Linked DNA regions of Caenorhabditis elegans. The protein of the gene in region 1 purifies or fractionates together with the protein of each later gene. This does not show direct contact. Each region holds a gene or a part of one and is shown in the gene's direction. Other genes may lie near its edges.

Region 1 (5,139 bases):
AAGGATGTACATATAAGACATGTGATCTGTGCCAAGAACAACATTTTGTTCTAGTACGATCAGTTATCATTACAGTTTCGCTGGTTTTATATATGAAACACGTGTCGAAGTATTGTGTTATCATACGAATCAGAGCAAATTGATGTTTGTGTGCCGAACATTAAAACTGTCCAAAGAGTCCGGAGATCAGATGAGCACAGTTTCTGATACAAACATATAGGAATTCACAAAGAAAGTGTGCGTAGGCAATTGTTTAAGACTACAATGTACTTGGGGAGAATTTAGATTTTCTCTGAATTTAGAAGATTTGACACAAATCTCAACGGTGATAGTTACTGTCACATATATGTTATTCACTTACTTGGTCAAGTTAACTTAACCAAAATATAGAAAAAAGTCAAACGCCAAACTCTTTGTGCACTGTGGTTTCTGGATGAGTTTTTTGGTTTTTGAAACTTTTCCAAATTTTGGTTTTATGTTTTGGAATATTCGGAACAATTTTGGTGTTTTGGAATTTTCGAAGTATTGCATTTTTGAAATTCAAAATGTTCGAATTTTTAGGAAATTTTTAATTATTGGCAAAAAAGTGATCAAAACAAAAGTGATCCTGAAATTAGTACACTTTTTCACGGAAATCTGAAAGATCAATTTTTGTGTTAAAATATTTCAGATTTCAGATAGGTTTCAGATTTAAAGGTTTCAGATTATATACTTTCCGCTGCCAGCTATCGTAATATCGCGAAAATTTTACACATCCGTTTAAAGGGACGTACCTAGGTACTGCCATTTTTTCGAATTGGTCTCACCAGGATTTTTGCAATACATTTTTTAATATAAACCAGGATTTGTGTATTATGAAAAATTTAGCACCTAATGTCACGTTTCCGGTTTCCGTGAACTGACCATATCAATTGTCACGTTGTTTAAACAACAATTGTTTTGGTTATCTTCCAAAGTGAGGTAGACTTTTACGTTTGGTTCGCTGAAAATTACTAGGTATTGATTGGAAGTTGTTTTGTCCTCAATTATTATACTTTCATGATTTCGTAAAAATATTTTTGTGTGAACAGGTGGAGAGCATGGTCAATGAGTTAGTTACGTATTCCCGTTTTGTTATTTTAGCTGCTTTCTCTTGTCATAAAAATTCCTATTTACATCAGAATTTAATTCTAACTGTCTTCCCATTTTTACTATTTTGAATACAATTAATTTTTCGATATCTTCCCGAACTATCTTTTCTAACTTGATATTTTTTATCGAACATGAATTGTATTTAAAAACTGATCAAAATAGATAAGACCAACAGAAATGCAAAACAGATGTATTTATTAACATTTCCTAGATATTTACTGTATACAAAAGTTTCCAAACCGACAGGAGTATATTCGTCAAATCAGATATTCTTAAATTCTTAGACTGAACTTTTAAAAATCTATTTTCTGATTTTATTGTTTATTTGCACTTTTCTTTTTCAGTTGTCTACCAACTGTCCATAGACACCACGTGACATCTAAACATTTCTGAATTGAAACGGCCCTCATAGTGAAAACGTGACCGGGACAGGTGATCGACGAGAGAGTATAGTTTTGTGTGGGTGCCAACAAGATGCGCAGAGTCGCTTGCTGGCGCGTTCTTCGTGACACGAGAAGCGCGTTAAGTGGTGTGCACATGAAAATTGTCGTCGTGTCTCCTAAATTTTGTGCCAAGTGGCAGATTCTCTTGTTTTTGGTTGTTTTCTTCTATTTTTCGTCGAATCCTGTTGTTTTCCAACGTCAGTTGACTGAAAAAATTAAGATAGATCTGCCAAAAACTTTTGTTTGACTGAAAATTTAAGATTTAACGTAAAAAATCTGCTATTTGTTTGTTTTCTCATTTTCTTCGTTTCATTTGCTGATTATCTGAACTAAATCGTTGCATAATTAAGTTCCAGGTATACGTTTTCCTTATTGGACAAACGTTCTCCTTGAATTTGGCCCCTTCGCTACACCATGTCAACTTCGGGAAGCGGTGGTGGTAACACCCCCGATCTTTCGAAGGAAAACGTGGCAAGTAGCCCCAATGCCAACCCCAAGAAGAATGCTGACACCGAGTCATCTGGTGGAAGCAAGGTAGTTTATAATTCTTTTTGATAGTTTTAATAAAAAGATTTTTTCAGAACAATCGCCAAAGAAGACGCTCAAACACGAAAGGTGATGGTTCAAACTCCAGAAATGGCAGTAGAACAAATAGTGTGAGCAACTCGAAGAATCAATCCAATCGTAAGGACTGGACAGACAGAAAAAGCTTCAGTCAAGGTGGTATCAACGTCAAGTCCAAATCGCCTGGCGATGATCACAAAAGAACAAGAAGCTCCAATTGTGAGTTTTTTAACGTTGGCAATATTTAACTTGTATTTTACAGCTCAATCTGCCAAGAGGAATGCGCGCGACTCCACAAGAACTATGTCACAAGCCAGCAATGGAGAAGGACTCGATTATAGTGACGAATGTATGATTTTTTAATATCCATGATCTAGTTTTATTTTCAAAAATTGCAGACGAGCTTGATGAGCCATTCTCGGATTCTGATGATGAGGATTCACGACCAAAGAAGCCAGAAAAGATGAGCTTGACTGTTGCTCGCGGACGCATTCGCACTCTGTCTGGAACTGTTCCAGTTGTTGGATATTCTCCACGCTGGGGAGGTCCGACTATGTGTGTAAGCTGTTTGGAATTCTTCGACCTGCCTGAGCAAATTTCTGGGTTTGCTGATCATCTTCTCAAGGAGCACAAAATAGTTGTCTCTGAGATGAATTTGATTGTTGACCCGAAACGTTACATCGAACATTGGCGTCAACGCTTCGCAAAAGAGAGCATTGATAAGATCTTCCCAAGAATTGAGCCAAGCGAAGGCGATTCCTACTTCGGAGAGACCGACTACTACTATCTGATGTCGGAAAATGTTGCTGAAGATCGTTCACTCCGACAACGACTTGCTATGCGCCGACTTGAAGAAGCATTGCAATGTCAACAACGTGAGCGTGAAGATACTTCCTTCCAGCTCCAATGTATCTTCTGTCGCTACAATGCTCGTGGAAATCGCTCGAAAATCATCCATCATTTATATATGATTCACCATCTCAACCTTGGATCTCCTGACAACTTGGTATTCGTTACCGAGTATATCGAGCATTTGAAGGAGAAGCTTCACCGCAATGAATGTATCTACTGCGAAAAAATCTTCCCAGATCGTAACACTCTCATGGATCATATGCGTAAGAGAAACCATCGCGAGGTCAATCCAAAGAATCATTACTACGACAAGTTTTACATCATCAACTACCTTGAACTCGGCAAACGATGGCTCGACGTGCTCGCCGAGGACTTCGAAGATACCATGCCCACGTTCCAAGATTCTGACGAAGAAGAGGAAGAGTGAGATTTTTAGTTTCCATAAATGTTGTTTTATGATTTTTTTTTTTCAGCAATGAGTGGTGTGAATGGCAGGAAGACAATCTCGATGCCGATGAAACTCGCGTTGTCTGCCTTCTCTGTGATGCTAGCGAAGACAACGCTCAATCGCTCCTCGAACACATGAAGACTACTCACGAATTTGATCTTTTGAAGAATGTTAGCGATGACAAGTTGAACAGTTACCAACGTCTTCGCTTGATCAATTACATTCGTAAGCAGAACTATCATGCAGATTGCTGGGTTTGTCAGAAGACTGAGTTCGAAAACCCTCTCGCTCTTCAAAAGCATATTCTCGAACATAAGCCATTGAGTGTAAGTCCTTTGTAAAATTTAAACTTGATTTCAAAAAAGAATATTCTTACAGCACCTTCCGGATGCTTCAATTTGGGATACCGAGGAAAATCTAGTTCCGATCTTCGGAAATGATCACTTCCTGTGGATGCTTGAATCGATCCTTGAAGAAAACGAAATCACTTGCAGCAGCGACGATGAAGGAGAGAGTGAGGAGCGTTTCTCTAAACTCGTCCTTGAGAGCAAAAGTAATACTGTTGAAGGAGTAAGTAATATTCTTTGAGATTTTGCCTGTAATTAGCTTTTCAGGTTATCGCCGAAGACCTTCCAGAGCTATCTGAACTCAACGAGGATGACCTCAACGCTCTCATGTAATTTGACATAACTACCTCATCTCAGCTCGCACGAACAATTTCAATTACCTATTCGTTATACATAGTACATTCGGATATCAATCAATAGTTCCCTAGTTTTGTTTGATTATCCTTCGTGTTTTGACAATCTTTATTATAATCTTTCTCTTTTCGGCTGTAATTTTCAAATGATTCCAGTAGTGGTCCTTTGACTGCTTCATCTTTTCTATTAATCAACCTATCAATCATTAGATTGTTGTTGTTTTCCGTTTTCCTCGCCATGTTTCCTAGTGTATGCTGGGAAATATTGCACGTTGTTTTTTGTACTCTTGTTTCAAAGTAAGTTTCCCCTTCCAACTTTCTCTCATCTCCTTTCATGCTTTTTTTAATGAGAATCTGGAACAGTTGGATCAAGTACATTCACTACGCCCCCTTCCCAACTTTAACATATCCCCTTTAAATGACCCCTTTTCACGATGATCCACTGTTCCCATGTATGTTTCTGACAGCCCGGTACAAATCGGTCAGTTTAGTTCGTACGTTGTTAACCTGAATAAAGCTTTCTCATGGTAAAATGATTTAGGCAGTGCCAATGAAATGTAGATATTCGTCAGGTTGTACTTTGTGGGAGTTGAGAAATAACTTTTCAAACAATGAGTTCTTCAAGAAGATTCTTGGAATCGATTGGAAATTGAAATGAAACTATCAGAATGTCCAAAACGATGATTCTACAGTTGTTGCGAACAGCGACTAGCCGCCAACTTTTACGATGTTCGCAAGGTTAATGGATGAATATTGGGTAGAACATAGTTAGAAATGTGAAAAAATTGCAGTTCAGACCACAACAACATTCTGGCGAATTCAAACTCAACAATTCGCATCTGAAGGAAAACGTGGAAGGCGAAAGTTTGTGGAAGCCGCCGTCGTGAAGAGTACGAAAAGTACAAAACAAACTGTCGATGTTTGGAAGCAAATGAATCCTTCGTAAGGAAACTCGAAATGTATAGTCGAATGCGGCCGCAATAAATAATATTTTCCTCGCA
Region 2 (3,193 bases), on another chromosome or scaffold:
ATAACCCAAAAACCGGTCTCATCGTTTTCAATTGCTTACCTCATTCAATTTTAACATTTAGCATTCCTTTTTCGAAAGTCACGTGGTGGAAGATGTAATTCAATTATCTTTTTACCAATCATCATCCACCAAAAAAGTTATGATATGGCCTGATTTCAATTTTTTTCCCAAAACACTAAAGGTCAGTAGTTGATTCTCTGACTTCTAATTGCTCTTTGAATTTGAGGAAGCTCGTGTCTGTCAGCTGCTTGAAAATATTCTTCTTTCCTGACTTTTAACAAAGATTTAATTTACAATCAACAAGACCTTTCAAATTTACAACTCCGTTGCAAAAACCGGTTCAGGTGATAAAGATAGCGTCTTTGATAGATTGTTTTTATGTTTTGTTATGTGATTTTTACGTAACAACAACATTAAAAACCAAAAACCTTACTTGGATCATATTTTAGTGACATATCGACGAAGTGCTTCGAGTCTGGAAACATGTGTGAATCTTGTACAGTTTGAAGAATTGGTCCATTGCAATAGATTTGTCTAGAAAAAAAACCATTTTTCAAGAATATTTCAAAGGAAACTTACGCTAGGAGGTTGATTACAGTGTAGAGCATAATTTCCTATAGGGGATGAAGAGTACAGAGAATGTTAATGACAAGGCATTCGGTCAGACACTAATTCGAATTTGTGGGCGGAAAAATTGGCAAAATATCGTTGATTTTTCTTCTTTCTTCTCTGATGTCAGCCGAGTGCCCTCAACGTCTCGTGTCTCACAAAATGAAAAATAAATCAACAAAACATGAAAGTGTGCGGCGCCACTGCAAAAGTGCGTGCCGCAGAGTTGCAATTGGGCGGGGACTTTGGTCCCGCAGCGAAACAACTAGCAAAAATGTGTGCTCCTTTAAACGCCGCCCGCCGCTTTTTACTTGATTGTTGTGCCACGTTGCTCTTTTTAAGCTTTTTAAATATTAATATTGTTATTTTTAAAGGATTTATACTTTGCGGGACATTTATATTCGTTAAATACAGGTCATGAAAGACATTTCTCTTTTATTATACTAGCAAAAATAAAAGTCTGAATGCTTTAAATTTTATTTTTTCATGAACATGTTTCAAGATAACTAGGTTGCATTTTCTAATTCAAAATTTATGTTTTTTCGCTCCTTTCTAATATATTTTATCTTATTGTTCTGTTGTATCTCAAAGATATTAAATTAATTACAGAATGGCGGCTCAAGTAGTTCCAGTTCTCTCGAAACTGTTCGATGACTACCAAAAGACAACATCATCGAAGCTGAAAATCATTGATGCTTACATGACATACATCCTGTTCACCGGAATCTTTCAATTCATTTATTGCTTGCTCGTCGGTACATTCCCATTCAACTCGTTCCTCTCTGGTTTCATCTCCACTGTCACTTCGTTCGTTTTAGCATGTGAGTTGTTTATTCAAAAAATTTGGGTTCAAGTATATTGGCAACATGAGTATTGTTTTCAGTAATAAAAGGTTAAAACGGTGATCTTTGTTTTCCTAAAAAGGGTTTCTGGGTTTCTTAATAGATTTGCGCTGATTTAAAATGTTTGGTACTTAAGCGAAATAAAGTAAATATAAATTGTATGTTCATTTGAGTTTCGGATGGACTGCAATTTTCACATCGTATCATAAACATTGGAAATTCCAATGGGCCCCCGCTTCAGCCCTCAAATGAATTGATAATAAATAAATGTATTTTTAAGCAATTAATTCTAAACGTTAATATTTTGTTTTAGCGTGTCTCAGGATGCAAGTAAATCAAGAGAACCGCTCCGAGTTCACAGCTGTCTCGACAGAACGTGCATTTGCTGATTTCATCTTCGCAAACCTCATTCTCCATCTTGTCGTCGTCAACTTCTTGGGATAAACTCTGAAAAGCTTTAATATGTATTTATTTGTTTCAATTCCTTCCATTAATTTATTTGTGTTGCAAAATGCCACCTGGGGTTTCGTTTCTCTTGCTGTGTTACACCTAATTTAATAAAATATGTTTCTGTTTTAATTAGAAGTTTTTAGTATTCAAGAAGAAAACTGCGTTATTGTCGCAAATTACTTTTGATGTGCACATTCTCATCCAGCTGAACAATTATAAACTAATCAGGTTGAATCATGCTGTACATGAAGCCAGCTCGTTTCGTGAAGAACGCCTTCACCAACCCTAATTAGTAAGTTAAATACTAAAAACGAAGAAGTTTAAGCATAGATTGTTTATTGAAAATACTTGCCACCGCAAAAACACAAGTTTTTAACTTCATTCCGATCTTTCACATCTAAATACAAATTGTAAAATACAAAAAGCAGCCCGCTGTGGTTTAATTACCTAGTCTTCTGCGAACACTCGCAATTTATTTGTTTTGAGTGTTTATAATAATTTAAACATTTTCACAATGAACGTGGATTCGGTTAGGATGTTCTATGATTTTCTTCCAGCTTCAAGTCGTATGGAGCATACGGAGGATCCGCTTTCCTTTTGGCCATCTACTTCTGTGAATGGAAAACCGTCGGACAGTACATCCCACTCTGGAACAAGCGTTACGTCGAATAGATTAAATCCTCAACACCTATTCCGATCGTTGATTGACTTTTTTAGAATTATGAAGATGTTTATCTTCTAGAATCTTTTTGCTCGGATAAACTTTCTATTATTGGCCTCTTTTTCGTTGAAAAATAGTTTATGCACAGTCGCTTAGCGCCGGGATTTCGAAATTGTTGTGACTCATAGCGAGCCACTGAGCAGAGATAGTAATTCAGAAGAGAGACGCCGACGACTAAACTTGTTTTCGCTGTTGTTGTGTGGTCTCTTGCATGTTTTTTTACTCGTGCCGTTTTTTCTCATTCGAATCACTTGTTTCAGTCAAATTTTCAGCAATGTTCTCGATATTTATGAGAATTCCTGATACTGCTCAGGTTGATGCAGTATTTTCTGGAGCATATGCATCAATTGAACAGGGATTATGCTACGATGAGGTTAATGATTGGGTATGTTTATTATTTTGAATGAAAACTTTGAAAATAATTGTTTTTTTAAGGAAAATACTCTCGCAATGTACGAAAAAGGATTGAATTTGATCGTCGAAGGAGAGAAAATGAAAAATGCGAGGAAAAGTGAAATGTGGAAAATGTTACAAGAATCAAAATCAAGTGTCCAGCATAGGTGAGTGATTT

The links.
Region 2: the proteins of ztf-7 (region 1) and ucr-11 fractionate together in Caenorhabditis elegans (co-fractionation; one large-scale study listed by BioGRID). This does not show direct contact.

The regions. Positions count from the first base shown.
Region 1 is NC_003283.11:9,786,493-9,791,631, reverse strand, and holds ztf-7 (Zinc finger protein ztf-7), read left to right. Parts: upstream 1-1,924; 5' UTR 1,925-1,988; coding exon 1,989-2,108; intron 2,109-2,155; coding exon 2,156-2,357; intron 2,358-2,400; coding exon 2,401-2,487; intron 2,488-2,536; coding exon 2,537-3,413; intron 3,414-3,463; coding exon 3,464-3,764; intron 3,765-3,816; coding exon 3,817-4,008; intron 4,009-4,052; coding exon 4,053-4,118; 3' UTR 4,119-4,639; downstream 4,640-5,139. Other genes in the region: lipl-2 (Lipase), read right to left, coding at 1-44; F46B6.6 (Tr-type G domain-containing protein), read left to right, coding at 4,807-4,876, 4,930-5,080. UniProt on the Caenorhabditis elegans protein: Probable transcription factor. Limits the ability to tolerate cold environment or cold-warm stress. In complex with rps-2, mediates the cold-warm shock response by promoting translocation of components of the RNA exosome from the nucleolus to nucleoplasm.
Region 2 is NC_003279.8:6,552,316-6,555,508, reverse strand, and holds ucr-11 (Cytochrome b-c1 complex subunit 10), read left to right. Parts: upstream 1-2,129; 5' UTR 2,130-2,137; coding exon 2,138-2,193; intron 2,194-2,458; coding exon 2,459-2,573; 3' UTR 2,574-2,675; downstream 2,676-3,193. Other genes in the region: tre-1 (Trehalase), read right to left, coding at 434-534, 580-608; Dolichyl-diphosphooligosaccharide--protein glycosyltransferase subunit dad-1, read left to right, coding at 1,220-1,430, 1,765-1,895; spg-20 (Inheritance of peroxisomes protein 1), read left to right, coding at 2,897-3,007, 3,058-3,182.